Linked DNA regions of Lepisosteus oculatus. The protein of the gene in region 2 purifies or fractionates together with the protein of the main gene of each other region. This does not show direct contact. Links are inferred from orthologs where the notes say so. Each region holds a gene or a part of one and is shown on either strand. Other genes may lie near its edges.

Region 1 (7,249 bases), on a different chromosome or scaffold from region 2:
TCCCATGCCTGTCGAAGGACATGGTGAAGCGGGCCTCTGGCCGCCTCGACGATGCCAACCCCAAGCGCGTGGGCCTGGCGCGGTCTCCTTGGCACCACCATGACTGGCGGTCCCAGCGCGTGCAAAACCCGGCCACAGCCTCAATGGCGCGTGAATCCCTCCCCCCCTTCCAGCCAACGCGTTGGGAGCGCGAGCCCACCCTCGGGGATCTTCTCAACACCCAACTCGTGGCAACAGGCGCCGTCTCTTTCTCCGTGCAAACGCGCTCCACCGCGGCTCCGCTGAGCTGTTACCTTTCCCAGTCGTGCAAACATCACCCCGAAATCCGACCGTCGTTTGACTTGCTCATTGGCTCTTTCCGTTCTTTTTTTTCCCCCTTCTTACTCCGTACGTCTCACCCAGCTGGAGAAAACATGAGTGCTCTCAGTCACCTACGTCAGAGTCCTTGTGGTGGCACGCTCACGTTCTCGCCTAACGCGCAGGCTCTGCCCAGTACGGGACAGCAGGAGCCAGTCACGTGGGAATACAAAGCCTCTTTGCGCACGCACCGAGCTCGGCTAAAGCTTTTATTTTTTAAAATCGGGATCTGTGCGAGCACCGGCAGCAACGAAGGAAAAGCCCGCCTTTAAAAAACGCGAATGCACTTTAATCGAATGGGATTTAACGTCTTTATTGGTCGGCGTTCAAAAGAAATACTTTCACGTGGTGCCTGCCGTGTGAAACAAAATAGCAGCTAGTGAGAACCGATACAGCGGGGCACCGAGGCAGACAGAGCAGATGCAGAAAACGAAAACCAAGCACAGGTCAAACACTCGTTCATCCTAGAGAGAAGCCCACCAGCCGCGTAGTGGAGGTGCGAGCACGCATTTCAACAAAAACAGCGTTAACAAGCAAACACCCCTTTTCATACCGACACTTAAAAACGAAAGAGATCAAGAAAGATACATTCTAGCCAGCACATACGTGAGAAGAGATACTGTATAAGTAATATTGCCACTAGAAGCTCTTGGTCGCTATCTAGTGACACCAATCAACTAATTAGTTGTGGGTTTTTTTTAAATACAACATTTCGGGATAACTATTGCACAGTAATCTTACATTTGAAAAATCCCTAAAACTACCGGCTCCTGCGCAAGAGCTACTACACTATGTTTTGCCAGATTACTATGACAGAACTAACTAGCAGAAGCAACGTCCACGAGTGACAGCATTTGAGTACACAATCGAACCGCAGCGCAGGCGAGAGAGCTGTTAGTCTAAAATCGCTTGGAAACAACAACATAAGGAGTGCTCGCCCTTTAAACTGTAATTGCGTGAACTTTCTGTTATGGTCACCTTTGAGCTACAATGTCTAAGCTTACAGAGCAGCATTCTATTATTCTAAGAGAATAAAAGATTTATTTTACAGGTTTGCTTTAGGCCGTGTAGTATTCATATACAAGACCAGCCACAGCAGAAATAAATCTTGAATTTACTAAATAACCCAGAAATATAGTAATTGTCATTTGCTTTCCATTTAAAACAGTATCGAATTTATATATTTCAGTATTCCTCTAAACTATTGTTTTACATATACTTTATTCGATTTATATGTATATTTAGAAAGACATCTCTACATACAGTACAATGTTGTTTGCAATTGTGTGTTCTGCCTTTCGTGAAATATCAGCTATCTTTTTTCCTTCATTTTCCTGCGAGAACTAGGAGATGAATGTGCGGTTCAATTACATTAAACGCATAACATACATCAGATATGGGGTTTTGCTCCTACAGCGAGAAAAAAGAGAGAAGGAAAGTTCCAATTTCACTGCCAATAAGCATTCACACCCATTTCCCACACCTTTTGAGCATGGCAGATAACCAGAAGATGCTTATTAAATCTGAGCTTTTTATCCGGCCAACACGAACGTCTTTCAGTCCGCGTCCACGGCTAGATAAACCTATTTCTTTCGAAGGCTGCAGCCCATCCGACATTGAAAACGAGATGGGTCCTATTGGCTACTGCCTGGTCACATGCACCCCGAGCCACAGGCGAATACCGGCAGAAATGGAAATTGAACTGCGACATTATTAAGAGGGAAACTTTGGACTACGAATTCCTAAACTGACCCGACGATAAACAAGACCCCTGACAACTGCGGTCACCACGGTTTTACGCTCCACAATTGCTAGATCGCCAAGGGACATTCATCCATTTTTTTTTTGGGGGGGGGGATTGGCTCGAAACCGCCTGCACACGCTCAAGCTTTTTTTTGTCGTTGTTTCAAAACGTGTCGCTTAAACGCGTGATGTGCAGTGCCCCCATTGTAAGAACAGCACGCCTAACACAGATAAGTGTGAATCCGCGGCCACACGGGTTTCGAGCGAGCCTCATGACGACAAGGAAGCACGGCCTTCCCTTGGCTGCCGGCAGTCACGTGTCCCTCCGCAACAGCAGCAGTCCCAGGTACATTTGAGGGAATGGCGGGCGGTGATAGGGCGAAATAGAAACACGGATACTCAAAGCCCCGTTTTTTTTTAAAAAAAAAAGCGCTGGAAAAAAAAAAGGTGTCGAAGGCAGAGGCTCTTTTCGGTTTCAATACAAATCTCGAAGTGCGCTAAAAGCAGCCTCCGTGCTCAGGCGCTAGGTTTGGCGACCCGGGTCGTGCACCGCTCTCTCGCCGGAGTCGTGTGCCAGTGTCGTCAGGTGACCACCGGCAGCACCCTCCCTCCCCCTCCCGCGGGCTGCGCGCTTTTAAGTTAAAGGCAGCCGGCCGGCTTAAATCGACGCCGGCGAAACGCGTGTCTCGAACCAGCCGGAGCACGCTGTTAGAAGCAGAAGCGAGCGCTTTACCTCGAAAAACAAGACTTTGGCAAGCGGGCCAGTCCTCCCATGCACGGCTCTGCGAAGGCGCGGACCGGGTGAGAAACTCGAGGGGAGTGCAGGGCTCCGGTACTGCAGCGAGCATGCGCTGCTGCTAAGCGCTATTGATCCTCGGAGGTGAGAGGAGGCTGGCGGGGGTGCCGCTTGGAGGCAAGAGGCGGATTCGTCTCGAGTCGCGTTCGTCATGACCCTAATCGATGACTATAACGCGGGATTTCAGTGTATTCAGAGAAGATGAGACCCCGCAACATGTAGTACTGGGCCCTAATTCTACAATTCTACAAGATTTTAAGGCGTTATATCATAAAAAAAACACACCGAAGAAAGGGATGTTTGCAGAATTACTGAAACTGAGCCGAATTCTGGCAACTCTCGCAGAGTTACTGAACCTGTAATAACAAAGCACTATTGCCCCGAGAAAACAAGAGGCGGAATTTCACCCCGGTCTCCGGTGGCCGCAGTTGACAAACCCACGACGAGAGCCCAGCGTGTTCCCGGGGTCTCCGAGAGAACACTTCAGTTGTTCTTTTGTTTATATACAATTACGAAAAGCACAACGTGTTCCAGCCGTTTTCACCGTTAAGTGTTGTTCCGTGCTTGTGAGTGTTGGGGGTACGCCTCTGTCCGGTCCTGCTTTTGGGGGACACAGGGGAGGTTGGGACCGAGCCGGCCGTTTGCTGGTCCTGCCTCACGCTAGAGCCGGGCTGGTTTTCCGAACAGAGCCTGAGCCATCCTGGGCTTTGCCGCCCACCCGCGAACCTGCAAGCGCTACACGATTAAACTGTACTCGTTTCAAACAAAATATTTTTTCCATTTTTTTTAGAATGTCTACGCCATTTAAAATTACATTAAAGTTACATTCTGTTCACTTTTTAACTTTTCACTATGCCGCTTTTGACTGCGCTGAGTAGTCAGGTTTAACATATTTTAAAAAAGGTTGGGGCTGGACTGACGGTGTCCCAGCTCCCGGGACCTGGGATTGGTTGTGGACGTCTGCGTGGAGTTTGTCTTCTCTCCCCGTGGCCGCGTATGTGTCCCCCCCCATTTTCCTCCTGCTGTTTAACGTTAATAAGCGTCACTAGTTTATCCCCCGTCAAGAGTGTTTGTTGTCCTGAAGGGCAGATCTAAGAGAATCGGTGAGAGGACCGATCACGGTTCAAAATGGTGTCTGGCCTTTTTAAGTACTTACGTTTTAAGTAAGTTGCTCGCAGTTAAATACACAGAAGCCAAATAAACTAAAGGTAATAATGCAAAGGAACAAGTAATAGGTTTATTCCATGCTGAAAAAAAAGAAGAAAGAGAACACAACGTTTCGGCCGTGGAGCCTTCTTCAGGTGTGAGAAGGCTCCACGGCCGAAACGTTGTGTTCTCTTCTTTTTTTTCAGCATGGAATAAACCTATTACTTGTTCCTTTGCAGTCTACGCATGCTGACGCAGCTACCCACCTAAAGGTAATAATGTATTCGCTTTCAATTTCAGGAACAAAAAGTATCTTTTAAACTAGGATCACACCTTCCACCAGTTCTCACCGAGATAGTGTTTTCTTTTTAAACCCCTCCAGTAATTTACCCAGTTCAGGTTTTCACACCTCGGTCTTCGTCTCTCAGACTTTAGTTTGTCCAGAAGGTCCCCCTCCTCGCGCATCATATTCCTACTCTCTTCATCTTCCCCACCTCGTGTTAGAAAAAGGCTCCACACACCACACTTTGAGTTTTTCTACTTTTTTTAATATTTCGGCGTGGAATTAACATTTACACGTTACTAAATCGGATTATAAACCTGCGGTCAAAAAATAGCTGTACATTTTGGAGAGAAGACCTGCTAGAAAAAGCGACCGCGGATGATGGCGAAAGAAAAGTTACGAAAACTAGTGCTGAGAAAAACCCTAAATTATGTCTTTGTCACCAAGGCGCACCTCAGATCCCTTCAAACGTACGAACATTTCTGGGACTATATTTACCGTACCTCTCAAACAACCTGCTAGTTTATTTGCCAAGGCATAGTTTCACTGTCGCAAAGCAGATGATATTTGTTAGGTTTCAGACAGCAATCACCCCTCCACAAATTTAATCTTTAAACGTAACGAGAGAAATCAATTGAAGAAAAAAACACGACCCGGAAACTCGGCGTCGCGGTGGCCCGGGTTCAAGACCTGGGGTGCTGTCTGTGTGGAGTTTGCATGTTCTCCCCGTGCTGGCCTGGGTTTCCGCCGGGTGCTCCAGTTCCCCCCTTACAGCCCAAAGACATAGTGGTAGGTTCTGGCGTAAACTGGCCCTGGTGTGAGTGTGTGCGTGTCTGAGTGTGTGTCCTGCGATGGCTTGGCGTCCACGCCGGGGTGTACGCTTTGCCTGTTGGTAGACTCCGGCTCCCCCTGGCAGCGATTTGACCGAAGCGGCTAGATAATAGACGGATAGACCCGGAAATTCTCAACTCTCCCCCGACCCCCCTTCCGCCCTCTCGCCGCGGACGGCTGAGCCGCTTTCATTGCTCATTAGAAGGTACTTACACAGTATGTGGACTGAGCTGAGGAGAGGATGTTTTTTTAATGTAGCCTATTCTTTCACAATATGAAATGGTAGTGGAGTGTGATCTACATTACAGGATCAGATTAAACGAACGTAAATGAATAATTTATCGCCCCTATGAATAGTCCAACGGCATTTTCTCATACTCTCAATCAGGAAAATGTATAATCAGGAAAAAAGAAGCGTCAGTGTCCTTAAATACCTACAAACGTTGCTAGGATGAATGCGTTGTTCCGTTTAATTTTATTTCCACGTCTGCGTACACGGTGCAGTTTAAACCAGGTATTATTATAATTCTTTTTGAGGCAGCTTGAAATGAGCTCGCAAAGAAAGCTGGGCTCTCCTCTATCAAAATGTGATTTTGTTTGTTATCCGCTCGTACTGCACGTAAGATAACGAGAAAACGTCTTTCGTGTCATGAAAGAAAGCAGTCGCTGACTTCGTGCACGTTCCCTTAGGTTTGAAGGCTTAGTGTGAGCTGATAAGGCGATGCCTTTCTTAGAACACCAGTGTGTACAGATCTGTAGAGAATATTAATAAACTTTACTCGGCGTCTGAAAAAAACCCTCAACTTGTACCCAATGCGTGCCTGAAGACTTATATTAAGCCAAATAAAGCATTCAGAACCGACTGTCGCCGTCGGTATAGAGCTTCGTTCAGCGTCACTGATAGAAAACGAAAGCTTCTTTTGGTCACGTGATAGGGAGAACGTGTTTGAGCTTTCAACACGCGCAGGGAGAAATCTAAGGCAGAGAGCATTTCGTTTCTCTCATGAAATGTGACTTATGAACAACACAACACAAGGCAAATTTGTCCCACGCGATATTGCAGCAGGAGATGGCTCCGATCAACCTTTAACAGAGCTTCGGAATGGAGCGATTGGCATAATTAAAAGCGTCGAAGAGCCCACCCCCAGGGGTTAATTCTATTATCATTGTGGAAAGGAGACCTGGCTGATTCAGAATGTATCTTGACCCGACAGCCTGAAATTGAAAGAAGGCCGTCTAAGATCATATATGGTCATATCGGATAAAAAATGAAACTGTTACTGTAGTGAGACAACCAAGCCGATCTTCAACACACTTAAAGCGTTAAATAGCACAGGTAGAACCTCCTGAAGCAGACCTGTCAACAGGAAGTTTGGGGAGAGCTCCATCCTCCACTGAGACTGAAACATGTTAGGTTAGAGTGGGGGTGTGTGTTGTGAAGGAGTTCTCCTCAATGCTTTTAATGAGATGTGATGTTGTGAATCGCAGTTTCTGCTTCATACTATCAATTCAGTCTTCAGTACTAAGGGACTGTGTATAAAATATATCCATAGCCTCGGTTAAGGCTGTGGGACAAATAGGCCATAAAAGCAGGGCGTCTCGATAATAAAGCACTTGGTATCTTGCACCAGCCTATCCAATGACGAGCCGTACACACCGAATAAGCCGACTGTCTATGTCGCTTTTTACAAGTACACATAGCTGAAATACTCATCTCTGTCTTTAATTTAATACACAATACATTACGTTGGAATTCAGCCTACGAGAAATTTCACAAAAAACAATTACCTCTTGAAAAGACGTTTCATAAATATTGTTTGTGATGATGCATTTCTACACGATGAACAACACTCACTGGGTTTATATTGTAAGGCCAGTGGAAAAGAAAACCATGGATTTGCGATGCCAGCGTTTCAAAACGTTCTGCTGGCAAAATGATTTGTCAGGTGGGTTTGTGAAAGTAATTGGGACCATATCTAGTACACTTAACGCTAGATTGGCTAAAATACTGTTTGCTTAGGATTATGCTTAACAATGTTATAGTTAATGCACAACATTGCCTTTTTAATATACTTTCACTTAAAAAAGATTTA
Region 2 (6,960 bases):
TAATGTCAAAATCACATATTCTAAATAAGCAGTCTAAGTATTCTATGTAAGTAATTAAGCTAAGTCATTTACATTACTTTCAATAAATATTTTTTTTAAATGGAACAGGCACTTTTTATTCAACTGTACTGCCATCTGTTCATCCTATCTTTGCAGTTTTCCACTCCATCACTACATCTTCTCCCTAGAGAAAATTGGTGTGAAAACAAGTGTAGTGCTGCTCTGCTACACCCAGAATACCTGTTTTTATCTATGCAGAAGGCAATCTTCACAGGGCTTTTTTCTAAGAAATTTGTTGGAATAGATGTTCCCATAAGCAAGAAGTAATCATTACTCTCACATTCCTAGAAAGTAGTCCTACAGACTTCATGCACTGTTGTTTAATATTTTTGGCACTGTGCAGAAAAGAACTGTTTCATAACACTTTATATATCATCTGTGATCTCATTTAAGTTCTTGAATCCTCCATACATTTCATATGTAAATATTGAGCAGCTCAGTGGCACAGAGGTCAGCATCGCTGGGGGCCCTGGGTTCAGTTCTGGACCTGAGGTGCTATCTACATTGAGTACATTGAGTGTTCTTCGTATGTACATGTGGATTTCCTCCAGGTGCTCCAATTTCCTCCAACATTCCAAAAACATACTAGTACGTTAATTAGCTTCTGGGAAAAACTGATCCTGGTATGACTGTGTGTGTCTCTGTGCCCTGGGATGTACTGGCGAATATCCTACCTATCCTATGAGTATAGGCTCTGGCTTCTCTGTGACCCAAAATTGGATGAAGGGATTAGGAAATGGATGGATGTACCTGTACATATATTCTTACTCTTTTCATATTTCTAGTTTCTGGTTAGGTCTTAAAATAGAATGAAAATGAAAACAACTTATTGAATTGAATACTGAGCATCCACTTAATGTATTGCTCTTTTTAATGTATTAATTAAATATTTAATCATCATTTTAATTAATTGCTCATTCATAACTAGAATGTGACACACTCAAGTACCTGACCATTACATAAGTTCTAAATCACTTTATTAGTGAGAGAGTGAGGTGATTTTACCTGTTGTTAAACGCAATGCCAGGTGAAAATCAGTAAAGTGAAACACAGAAATTCACTATGGCTTGATTTACCAAAAAAAAAGCAAAAATCTAAACTAAAGGCTGTATTATGCCATGGGTCCCCCTGTCCAGGCACTACAAGAGGATTAGGACAGAATCTGCAACCTGTAGCAAACCACGCTTTACAGATTGAATTACTTTCAGGGTTGACCACACAAACCACTAGTATGTAACTTTCACAATAGACCGCCTCTTTATCAGACCTATTCATGGCAAATGTTAATCAGCATAAAGAACCAATGTCATGTATATTCATTAAAGTACAGTACATCCTCAGCACACTTGTTATTATTTTGATGTTGAGTATAGATTGTAGGCTTCTACATTTGTTCAGAAAACAAAATAGTGATATGAAAATTTACAATTTACACATAACACAAAACAGCTATAGTTTATCCAACAACAAAAATGTTAAGAAAATACAGATAATATAAATTGTCCCTTTAAGATTAAACATACTTTATATACTGTATGTAAGAAAGTCTAAACCTTTGGCCAAAACCCAGGTATTGCCACAGCTGCCTGTTCTTAAGAGCTGATCCAGTCATTCACAGAATAGTCAAACAATGTGCCCAGAAAGATGACCTGCAATCTGACACAACCATCTGGATGATTTGTGGCAGGGTTATAGCCTGCAGAAAATTTCAATTCCACAAAGAAATACATATGTCCATTAGAACTCAAAAAAGATTCTAAAGCAGGTAGCAGACAAGTGCCATTATCAGAGACAGACAGAGATCAAACCTGCAATTTTCAAGTGGCAGAGATAGAAGGTAAATGAGACAGTACTCCATCCTGTTTCAAGAGGCCCCAACATGGTAGCAGAAGTGCCTGCAGAAATGTAGATCAGAAGCATCAGAATAACTGTTCATGTGCATCCTGACCACTATCTTCAGCTCGCGCATTTTACTGTTATTTCAATTTCTTTCTTGAAGCATACAAAATTGTGCTTGTTGATCCCTTCATATATTTCTCAAAAGCGTCTACTTGTGATGCCAACTATTCTACAAATAATAGCTTCTGAAAACATCCACTGCCAAGAAGCAAAGGAAGGAAGCAGATCAGCAGTGCGCCATGCTGAGAAGTCCACGGCAGAAGAATTGAGTGTAAAGTTGATGCATTTCTTTATCACAACCTCTCTCTATCAGCATATGGAATCCTGTTCAGGAGTCGCATTTGAATCCATTGGAAGGATACAGTACATGCTTTGAAACAAATGTTCAAAATAAACGTGTGACATATCCAAACACAACACCAAAGCTTGGGGAAAAAGAGATTTTTTTATTAGAAGTTAGTTGCTTTACAAATAGGAGACGATATACTTCATCTATCACTTAAAAGCATTCCTGGTCATCCTACTAAGACTTTGAATCAGGTTCAGAGGGAACAATGTCCCCTGCTTGTGCAACAATACTAATTAGAGAAGGAGAGGAGGCCTCTCCTCCCAGTATTGACCAGACCTTAGCTTCTGAGACCTAACAAGATCAGACTCGAAGTTGATCATTGGTGCTGATGGTATCTAGCTGATGGAAATGTTTGAGGATAGTATGGTTTGTCACTATGTTTTCAGTAACCATGTACAGTAACAGGATACCATTTTAGGGAACCTTACACCTCACTGTGGCAGCCGGTGACTCACCTCCTATGAGAAGCTGGTAATCCCATGGACTGCATCTATTTATAATGTTCTCTTGTTTATGGCTGTGCTTTGTTACCTGGTTTCATTACTTTATTTAGGTAACTACTTGTAACTGTAAACTAATGTTGTATTCTTTGTGTGTAGATTGCCTGGTTCCATTATCTGCACCTGTATAACTGTCCTTCTTGGAGAGCTTTGGTATTGCTAGGGGAAGGGAATCCTGAGTCCTGTACTGTTTCCTTATCCTGACATATTTGACTGCTATGTGCAGGCTGTCCTGCCACCTAGAACACACTGCTTGAGTGAATGCTTATTATTTAAACGATGCTACCTTTTGCTTCTGCAAAATTCCCAAATTTATGGACACTTCCACCCATTTGCGGTCCTGTGTCCCTCATTTAGTACTGTATGACATTTATGTTTCCCAAAGCTCGTTTTGTAATAGCATATTAATAGAATCCACTACTATGTTGGGTAGATTAAAGGGCATCCATCCATTCATTTTCTGCAGGTTTCAAAGAAAGCTAGACCGACTTTAAGAAGATGAAGTCCCCCTCATTTTAAGAGAACAATCATTTTTTTCCCAAAATACTGGGAGTCCCTGAAGTTTAACATCGATGTAAAAGATCTCTTCAATCATTAACATAGCCATATAGTATAATTCCTTCGGGGATCCCAATCAACAGAAATGTCCCAAAATATCTCAGGATGATGCAGTGGACAATGATCCTCAAGAAACAGAAGGGAAAACTGTCACCGAGACCAATATATTTTTAAAATAATAGACAGATTAAGTTTTTATTACGATGTAAAAATATTTTTACAGCTTAGCTCCATCTCTCAGAGTCTCAGATATTTTCTGGAACCGAAAAGCATTTCTTCGAACTTTAATCTGTAGCACAGTTCCCCCAGTTGAATCAGCTGATCCGACATAAACACCGCACGCCCCAACTGCCTTTGAGACGAGAAGAAATTGATTTTCCCGTTTGGATTAATATTTATGAAACATCAGTTTGAAACACAAAGATCCTCATACGACTTGGATCACGCTAGACCTCAGATGACTCAAGCGAGAAGAAAGAAAAAAAACAAAACAACATCCGTAACCTCCATCATATGCAAACCTGCCGCCTTCAGCTTAATGTTTCTCTTTCAGGAAATTGTCTGCCGGCTGATTGGTTAGCCCCCCACCACGTGATCCTCCTACTGGAGTTTCCACGACAGCTGGGAGCTGTGATCCGGGCGCCTTAGTCATTTTTTGTATCAAATTTTTCTGTTCGTATTTCAGTATAAACAAATCAGGTTTCAGCAACATGGGAGACAAGAAGAGCCCGACAAGGTAAAGCAGTTCACCAATGCATAAGAAAGAGGGTTGCTCTAAAATGCGGCGGCTCTGAATAATTAAAGCATTACAACGCTGTGTGTGTGAATGAGGTGGCCGCTGTAGTGTAGCAACCATGGCGGACGGGCTGTTCTATTACAGTGTCAAAACATATACCTCGTAAATTTGACTCTTGAAGTCAAAAGGGGTCCGTACTTTTTTTGTTTATAAACAAGTGTTCAAAGCTGAATGTAAGGGGCTGTAAGCGCTGCATTAAACCAGTGTTGACCGTCTGCTATTTTGTTCGAAGGCCAAAGCGGCAACCCAAGCCTTCTTCTGACGAAGGATACTGGGACTGTAGCGTTTGCACATTCAGGAACAGCGCCGAGGCTTTCAAGTGCATGATGTGTGATGTCAGGAAGGGAACATCAACACGGTAAGTAGATTTATTTAATCGCTATTATTAATGGTCACCGTTCAGGATGCTATGTGCAAGGGCAGGTATTTTACATTTGATGCTTTAGAACATAAAAAAAACAATAATACCTGAGACTGGCCGGAATGCTCAGCGAAAATGATTGAATGTTGAAAAGGTAGCTAATGTTTACCATAACGGGGTTAATTAGATATTGATGAATGACAATTTTCTTTTGCATAAGTGAATCTCCTTATCGTCATTGTTATTTCACAACGGATCCTGCTTGTTTGTAAAATACATACTTGGAGCGGTGAAACTAAGTAGGCGATATAAATTGTTTAAAATTAACTTGTATCTGCAACTTTTATCATTTTTAACCGGTGCTTATTATGCGAAGTTGATTTGCTATTTTCAGTGGGCATACCGTGCGACCGGCTGCTTTACATGAGCCTGACCGCTTGTCTTGGGCTTTCCCACAGCATCCTGCCAAAATGTTTCTCCCAACTCCTACGATTATACTTATCCTGAGTCGCTAGACTAGCACATCGTATGAATCATTTGTTGTATCATGAAATACGTAAGCGCTGTGTTCAGTATTATCAAGTGAATATTTCCGTCTGGTGCATTGCCATTAAGACACGGGAGAACATTTATTTCGTCTTAAGCGTTGAAAGTCTGCTTCCTACATGTCTTTGAACACCCCAGTAACACAGGAAAAATTGATGTTCATTTTAAATGTTTTTTTCTTTTGAATAATGATGTAGGCGATTCACTCATAATCATTTTAATGACGTACAATAAAGCCAGCTACAGTAATATAAAGAACAGATACTGTACTGTGGTTTTTGTGTTTCTATCGCAGCCAGAATACATAGAATGAGTTAATAATAAATGCAGTGTGGTTTCTGTGGGATCTCGGTTTATAATTTTCAATTAAATGGCATAGACAGGGTCTCAGCTTCTGTATTAGCATGGAGGGGAGTGTTGATTGAGTCTTCACTTGTCCTTCCTGCTGTGCAGAGCAGAAGTCAAGGCTTGCCTTGTGAACAACAAGGTTCATCAGTTTGGATGATTTATGTACTTATGCTTTGGTTATGACATTCTTCACAGGGGAAAGGTGCCCTGAATTATTGACCCTTGCTATTGAATGCAATCCCTGATATTCAGCCAGTGTGAACTGACCACAATTATATGATGGCATAAGTTCTATTTTAAGAAGTATTTGTGGTTTAAAGTATATGGAGTTCACCAGATCTTCATTTGCTTTAGAAAAACCCTGGTGAAATCACTTTCTGATTTAGTGTTGGTGCAGATCTACAGAACAAATTCCACCATGAATCGCTTACATTATACTACATCTGGTATTTGAATTGGCCAATGTGTTGATTAGATGTGTAGTAAATACAAAATTGAAGTTTTCACATCCTAACACCATTAGCAAAGTTGATTCAGTTTACTAACATTTTTAAACTGGTTTGGAAGTTGGAACAGAATGAGCAAGCCTTTTGTGTGATAAAATGAATTATTTCATTAAGAAAAAATAATTGAGGATATTAAATACCAGTCACTTTTTGTATTAATTGTATGCTCCAAAATGCTGCCAATGTCAAGATTCAGTGTTTTTGGTGCAGCCACCTAAGCCGGGACAGATACTTCTGTGTGTACCACAAGCAGAGGCACTTGCACTGATGGTTTCAGGCACATATCCAAGGAAAAACTTTAAACATGTGAAAACGTCAGCAAAGGGCTCAGGCAGTCTGTTTCAAATAATTAGAGGGTGGCAATCTTATGTATATCTAACAATGAAATATGGGGTCTCTGTTCTTCATTGATAAATACTGTAAGCTAACTTTACCTAGTGTATGTAAATGTCTATAATAAAAATCTATTTTAAACATTGGCAGCTAACTTAGTAACAAATGTGATGTTTCGCACTTCAGAAATAATAAATATCCTATTTTATCATCTGTGATTCCATATCCACACCATATCTGGACACATGCAGTTTGATTCTATCTTCTTTTACTTATTTTATCAAAAAGTTTATCAAAAGAAATGGAGAGGGGAGCTGGAACTGGTGTATCTTCAGGTTCTCCTCTACTGGGTATATACATTTTTTTCCACAGGTCATCAGCATAAATTCAAGATAATTTGAATTAACCGCCATGTACTTATAATGATTCTATATGTAGGCATAATAGGCCTAAAGAAAATGGGTTCTGTAAGCCATTTCACCCAGTCAACAACCGCATGCACCAAATAGTTATTTTTATTGGGTCGTAAGTGCTCTGTGCTCAGTATTTATGGGTATTTGGCTTTAAATGTTAATTGGCGAAATGGATTCCTTGCGATTCTGTTTAAACACTCAAGAGTAGCCTTGCCTGGCATGTAAACGTCCCAGAAAATATGACATTTGTGTCTGCTGCCAAAATGACATTGCTGTTCCCCGACTTAACTT
Region 3 (7,038 bases), on a different chromosome or scaffold from region 2:
AACCTCTCCCACAAAATACCCTTAAAACAAACAGCCAAAGACAAGCCAGCACTGTGGAAGGAAACTGGTTTGGTCCGGGAGCCACAAAGATCACAGGAGAAGATATGACAGAGATAAGGTTAAAACCCCAGATCTCCACTACTACATTACCAAACCCTGGACATGCCGTTTCAACATAAACTCTTCTATAGCCACCAACAAAACTTGTGCAGTGTATTTGTGCTGCTATTATGCAGAATGCTAGAACCAACATTACCAAACATTGTCAAAAAAAATTTCATAAGCACTGCATTTACCACCAAAAACATGGCTCTTCAGAGTTAATTCTCAAGACTAGGTTTGAAGACACCCTGATTACATCAAACCAGCCTCAAGGCACACGTGTATATACTTAAAAATGTGAAATGTATTCGACAGATAATTCAGTTCCTTTATAATCAAAAACATACTGTGTTAATGTTAGCAATACTGAGTGTGACCCGAGTTCCCAAATTTGGAAATACAGTAGCATCAAGTGACTGAAGTGGCTGCAAAAAACAAAAACAAATCAAAAGGCCAAGATATGCAGACTCTTGAGGATGTGTTATAAGTTAATAGGGCAGCCACTTGAGCAGAGCTTTCAAACTGCTTACAATGAGACTCTTTTGAGACAAGCTGTTAGTATGTCCTTTGAGTCCCTCACATTAGGGATAAGTATGAAGAAAGTCAACTGATACCTTCAAACAGATGTTTCAGAGTCCCTCAATGCAGACTTAACAAAACGAAGGCTTCATTACCCCACAGTCAATCAAGTTACTCCAAGTATTTGATATGAGCAGGTCGCTCAGTGTTTAAGTGCAAAATGAAAGGGTGTTGTGCAAATATACAGGCTGAGGTTGAGTATGTTGGAAGTCAACTCACAGACTGCGGTGTAGCTGTGTGGATTCCTGTGGGAGTGTTCTGTCATTAACGTAACGTTATATTTAGTTTGAATGCATCCTCTCAACAATAAAGCTGTTTGGATGCAAAACAAATTTCTGAGAAAGCAAACAAGAAATCTTATTGTATTGTAACATTGCTAGCATCAATTTCCGAGTGTTTTTTTATGGATTAATACTTACTGAAAAAGCACCTGCACATCACTGTATACGACATCTGAAAACTGGAAAAAATAGAACTGCTCCTTGCCATCGCTTTTCTCTACCTTCCCTAAACACAGCGCTGAGATCAACAGGTTCATGCTGTGTAACGCAGTTGCTGGGTGTAAAACACGTTGTTCTCTGGTCCTAATTATTTCCTGAATTAGTGGAGGTACGTTTAAATGCCACTTTGAAGCCGGGCCGATGTTCAACAAGACTAAGCTCCAGGAAAGAAAATAAAGCCTACGGATTATCCATCTATCCAAGTTTGAACCGTTCTCCCAGTTCAGGGGCATGGGGGAGCCACGGCCTATCCCAGCAAGCAGAGCCAGGCTGGTGTACAACCTGGACACCTGTCCATCACAGACACGCACACTCACACCAGTGCACCCAGAGGAAACCCACACAAACCTGGGGAGAACATGCAAACTCCACACAGACAGCACCCCCAGTGCAGAATTGAACCCAGGACCCCAGTGTTGCGCATCACTATGCCAGTCCATATCGATTACCTGAGAAAGTAATATTCATTTGAATTAGTTTCCCCGAAGACTGATTTAATATTAGTAATAGTAGTAACGAACTGTAAATACCGTACTGACTTGTCATGACAGGCCAGATGTCACACTTCCGTGAGAAGAAAAGCCTTACTCCTTTCACTGCACGTATTTGAAGTTGCGTGGGGGGCCCACGGGAGACACCAAGCGCGTTTGTGTTTTGAATACAGGGCTAACTGGAAGCCAACAGACGTGTTCTCTGTATTCGGCTGTTGTTAACTGTATTGTTGACTGCACTAACAATTGTCGCCGAGATGTTAATAACGTTCACGCCAAGCGTTCGTCTGTTTTCCAAGGCATCGATCTGGAGCTGTGATATGATCCGTGCACAGCAGTGACCAAGGGTGTCGGTTTGTTGGTACCCTTAAACCATTGTTTACCCAGTGCAATGTTGCAAGGGCACTGAAGTTACAATGCAATTTTTTTTTCTAAAAAAGGAGCTCACATAAGTCATGGTTCTGCTCTTCTTTTACAAAACGTGACTGCACAAACCACTTAACACCCCCGGACACATCGTTGATTTCAAACCGAAGGCAAACGCACAGCTGCCACCGATCTTATCTAATCCAAGCTCAAACTGTCATGAAGCGAGATAGCCGTCAGAAAATGTAAATGATAAAACTTAAAAGGCTTCCATGATCCATCCCGTATGAAAATGGGTAGACAAAAGGAACGGGTCTTTTATATTTCGGTCATTTTAATCGATTAGACACACACGCCACAATTCTTATAGAACTTGATTGTAACTTGTTCTAACATTAATTTCAGTTCCCGTAAATAAATCAACCGAACGTCAAAACAGATTAGATATTGTTGTCAATCTTCCAAAATTAATGCAGAAGGCAACTATAAAGGTGGGACTGAGGATTGCCTAAGGACATTATGAGTAGGGGGGACAAGAAAGATTTAGCGAGACGAATGAAAAAGTAGAAAGCCAAATTTGCCGTTCCGTTGACACCCGGACGTTTTCTTGACCACAAGCTTTTTTGACCGTGCAGTGTTATCAAATAAATACGTTCACGCCTCAAAAAAAGCCCCTCGTTCAACTTCATGCACGGATTCAAATCAAACTGGGCAAGACAGGGCGACATCCGTACCCTACTAGCCAAACACCCAAATCTGAAGAAGTCGACAAATGAACCAAACACACACGCCACACACTCCAAGAGATTGTTGTGAACACGAAGACATTTCAGAATCGTTTTAATTCGGGCTCTGCACCAACGCCTGAAGTTACCGGACAACTTTCGCCCTGCAAATATTTTTGGCGACACGGCCGGTGTCACGCCGAGATCTGCGAGGAATCGTGACAGAGGCTTCGGCTGGGGTCGCTTTTACAGATTAAAGACATGAAGACGTGCCTCAGTTCCCGATGCGAGGATGCGAGAATGACCCACATCGAGGACAGAGACGCGGATCCAGGCAGCGAGGAAGAAGACTGCCCTGCAAGCAGCCAACTCCCTCTCCCCCAGTGTACAGAAAATCCTGAAAATATCCGTACAGCAACTTCCAGTCCCTTTTTTAGTGGCGATTTCAACGCATCGCCAACAAATCTGCTTCGCTGTTCTAGTATTTTTACCCAATAGCCTCGCAAAGAAAAAAAAAACCACACCGAGTTACAAAAAACAACAACCTTTCCTCGAACTGCAAATGACAATTCGGCAGATCCCCGAGATCATTTCCAAGAATGAATGAAAATTTAACACTCAACGTCCACGACTGGCAAAAGACCAGATTTACTGGAAACCGCTACGCTCGGGTGCAAATAAAACCAACACAGTGCAAACAACGTTTTTTTTTTGGAGGGGCAGAAAAAAGATCAACAAAATCTCCAACATCATCCACATCGCGTCGTGCCCGAGAGAAGCAAAGAAGAGAGACTTGGTCATCGCGGGTGACCGGGCTGTGCAACACGACCTGCGGACGCTCACATAACGCTCTGTACAAGAAGCTCGGCTTTAAAAAAAAAAAAACACAATCGGTGCGTGTAAAAATGTTCATGCATTACCTGGTCTATAGGGAGACTGATGATATCGCTAATTGGCTGCAGCAGGGTCGAGCCAGTGCAAGAGGATATGGTTGCTGTAGCCATGATTAGGAAGGTTTTTTGTACAAGATCCCCCTCTCTCTCTCCCCCAGTGGATCCCCAGATTCGCCTGCTACTAGCTGACAGCCAGCCGGGCTATAAGCTCCGCCGACAGCCAACAGCCGCTCACAACAAACAAACCCTTTTCTGTCTGCGGGCCAATCGTTCAGGGGAAACTGGCGGCTCTCAAATCCAATCAGAGGAGGAGGAGGTCGCGGCGGGCTCTGCGCTGATGTACAGGCCCGGCAGCTAATCAGAGGGCCCCAGCCGGAGCGATCCCGGTTTTTACAGCCCGCACGCCGGGGAAGGGAGAAGATCGCCGGGCCGCGGATTATACTCGCCCTGCAGAAACGTCCGGAGAGGTACCAACAAGACAAACGCGGACAAAAGACAAGTGTGTTCGTGCAGTCTGACGACTTAAACCGCACAATAAGTATAAAAACAAACCAGTCGGTCCAGTAGTTGTTTTTGTTTTGGGGAGGATAAAAACAATTGCATTTTTCAAATACTGCCCGGAGGGAGTGAGTGAGTCGTGGTGGTGGGGAACAAATAAGGACAGATGCATCGGTGGTGCTGAAGGAAAACAAAAACGATGGCAAAGGTATCGCGTTTGTTTTCAACCGCGCACAGCTGAGGTGCCAGACGCCCCCCGGCTCCTGTGCTTGGCTGTTTTGATTAAGCCCTAACAGCGCCGCGGAAACGGCGAAGTGACCCTACTCCGCCAGCCGGCCAGCCAGCGAGTAGGTGGGGGGGCAGTAAGGCTGCCAGCCCCCCCTCACCCCGCTGTGAGTTTGCCCTTCCGCGCCGCCAGACTGAGCCCCGGCTGAGACACGTGTTTTGCTGCGGTTCCGGTGTGCAGCCTCTGCTTACTTCAGCGGCCATTGGGAGTGGAGCTGGGGAGGCGGCTGTTTCGTTTCGTTTCGTTGTGCTGTGTGTTCGTGTGTGCCTGGCTCCCCGTGAGCGTCCGAGCCGGGCGCCCGGCCGCGATGGTGCAGTGCGTGGTCCAGGGGTGCCCCAACAAAACCTACCCCAAGGCGGGGTTCGCCAACCGGCCGCGCAAGCGCTTCTTCAGCTTCCCGAGAGACCAGGCCCGGGTGAAAGTGTGGCTCGCCGCCCTGAGGGAGACGGAGCGGGTGCTGTCCGACCACCACCGCATCTGCGAGGACCACTTCCTCAAGCACCACATCACCCCGTTAGGGGTCACGAAGGACGCCATCCCCATCATGCCGCCCTACCTGGACGGGCCGCTGGCCTCGAGTGCGGGGACGGAGCTCGGCGAGTTTGCTGGCGACGCGGAGATCGAGGTAGGCGCACTTACATTAAAAGCCCCGTTTGTCGGCGCAAGGTTTTGGAGACATGATCAACCCGAGGGATATTTATTAGATTTTTACACTGTATTTAAAATATTGTCATGTTTACACTTGACACTTATTATAATAATAATAATAATAATAAGCTTTATTATATAGCGCCTTTAAAGGTGGCTTCTCAAAGCGCTTTACAGGATGAGTTTTAGTTTTAACTAGTTTTAATATACACTATTAACATAGCGCTATAATGTTTTTATGATTTGTGTAAAATGTAAAATGTACCAGCTCTTGTAACATGCTCTGTATGTGACATTGGAAAATGTATTTTTCTTTAATACATTGTTTGGAGTGCCTTACTTCTGACTACCTAGACCCGCGGTGCTGAGCCCGCTGTCAGGCCGGAGTTTGTTTTTATTGGTCGGCTGCACAGATGCTGCCACAAAGTGAGATGGATCCGAATACCGGAAATACAAGCGCAGTGAAAACAGACGCTTTTCTACAGCGCAATTCACAAATTGCTCCAAGCGTAAAAGCCCTGGTTCACAAATATTACACGTTTTGGGTAGGCGCTTCTTTTAGGTAAGATGCGCTGTTTTTTTTTTTACAAGGCAGCGAGCAACACCCTTGGTCCGTTACAGAAGCTCAACAGGCCCTTTAGTACCTGATTTCTTGTGTTTTGCCTCGCAGTTCTTGTTCATTGCAGAGATTCTGATTTGTGGACTTGGAAACTCTCCTGCCTCATGTTTTTTTGGCTTTAGTTATGCTGTTTGGACCCTTTTAAAACGGATTGCAGTCATGTTTTTAGCCCCTTGGAATTTGGATGGGGCTAAAAATGCAAAAGCCTTCTAATTAGTTTTTCAGTGAAGCGCAGGAGCTTATCTGAAACTTCAGCTGCTTGTAAGGGGTGTGTCTGTAGTATAATTCTCACCCATGTGCTGTATGTCTGCTTTCATTTCATTGCCAACAACGACTGCTGCACGTTGTGCATTTGATAAATACACTTTGGTTTGATTTGGCAATATTAAGCTGCACTGTTTGTAAGCAAACCGAGGAGTCCACAAAGGTTAATGTTTGGTTTACGGCAACAGTACACCAATATAATGATATTCCTGAAACCGAGCACAGAGAGCGGTAAAATATTATTGGTCTTCAGGAGCACAGGAGAGATTTACTTATAGTTTCATTCAATAATGAAAACTCTCTTGAATATGTATGCTGTTTGTCAGTTCATATGCTTCACTTATTACTTATTATTTTCTCAAATGAGGATATTGTAATCTGTAAACCTCATGACCACATACTTTAGATGCAGAGCACGCAGTTAATTTCACTTTCATTTCAGTTAATTCAATAGGTGGTTATTTTAATTGGACAGTAGGAAATCTCATTGCAGTTCAGCTTATTTGTGATATGCCCAACTGCCATGCTTATTTGCATGTATGCTCCAATACAGAGAAATTAAGGGAACACCAAACTACAGCAGCAACAACAAAGTTAACACACAACGTAAATAAAAGTCAGCACAAGAAGTGTGCAGAGTAGAGGTGGAATTTAATAACTTGACAGCTTGCAGGAAGAAGCTATCTCTGAATCTGGAAGTTCGTGCCTTTATGCTCATATTGCTTACCATAAGATAACGTCACTTTATTAACCCTTTACAATTTCTTGCATTAGGAATTTGTCTTTTTGCATACCCCAGCTTGCTCTCCATGAGACACACAGACAGGGAGAGAAGCTTGTGGTCAGAGCGCAGGGTCAGCCATTGTACAGCACCCCTGGAGCAGTTGGGATTAAGGGCCTTGCTCAGGGGCCCAACGGAGTAGGATTCCTCTGCCGGCTGCAGGATACAAACCGGCAACCTTCCAGCCACAGGCGCAGATCCTCAGCCACAGAGCTACCGCTCCGCCCCCAAGGGCAGGGGAGAGGAAAGTGAGAAACCAGGATGACTGGGGTCCTTAGCGACACGT

The links. The genes of interacting proteins can lie anywhere in the genome.
Region 1: the proteins of yaf2 (region 2) and mgaa purify together in Homo sapiens (affinity purification with mass spectrometry; 5 studies listed by BioGRID and IntAct, counting the BioPlex papers as one, with this or other methods). This does not show direct contact. The link is inferred for Lepisosteus oculatus from reciprocal best matches to the Homo sapiens genes YAF2 and MGA.
Region 3: the proteins of yaf2 (region 2) and e2f6 purify together in Homo sapiens (affinity purification with mass spectrometry; 4 studies listed by BioGRID and IntAct, counting the BioPlex papers as one, with this or other methods). This does not show direct contact. The link is inferred for Lepisosteus oculatus from reciprocal best matches to the Homo sapiens genes YAF2 and E2F6.

The regions. Positions count from the first base shown.
Region 1 is NC_090703.1:12,652,379-12,659,627, reverse strand, and holds the start of mgaa (MAX dimerization protein MGA a), read right to left. Parts: upstream 3,004-7,249; 5' UTR 2,949-3,003; coding exon 2,834-2,948; intron 449-2,833; exon of another isoform or gene 294-448; intron 265-293; exon of another isoform or gene 200-264; intron 1-199. UniProt on the Homo sapiens protein: Functions as a dual-specificity transcription factor, regulating the expression of both MAX-network and T-box family target genes. Functions as a repressor or an activator.
Region 2 is NC_090702.1:30,288,392-30,295,351, forward strand, and holds the start of yaf2 (YY1-associated factor 2), read left to right. Parts: upstream 1-3,954; 5' UTR 3,955-4,076; coding exon 4,077-4,102; intron 4,103-4,394; coding exon 4,395-4,520; intron 4,521-6,960. UniProt on the Homo sapiens protein: Binds to MYC and inhibits MYC-mediated transactivation. Also binds to MYCN and enhances MYCN-dependent transcriptional activation. Increases calpain 2-mediated proteolysis of YY1 in vitro.
Region 3 is NC_090697.1:12,186,229-12,193,266, reverse strand, and holds the start of e2f6 (transcription factor E2F6), read left to right. Parts: upstream 1-4,035; 5' UTR 4,036-4,123; exon of another isoform or gene 4,124-4,156; 5' UTR 4,157-4,747; coding exon 4,748-5,065; intron 5,066-7,038. UniProt on the Homo sapiens protein: Inhibitor of E2F-dependent transcription. Binds DNA cooperatively with DP proteins through the E2 recognition site, 5'-TTTC[CG]CGC-3'. Has a preference for the 5'-TTTCCCGC-3' E2F recognition site.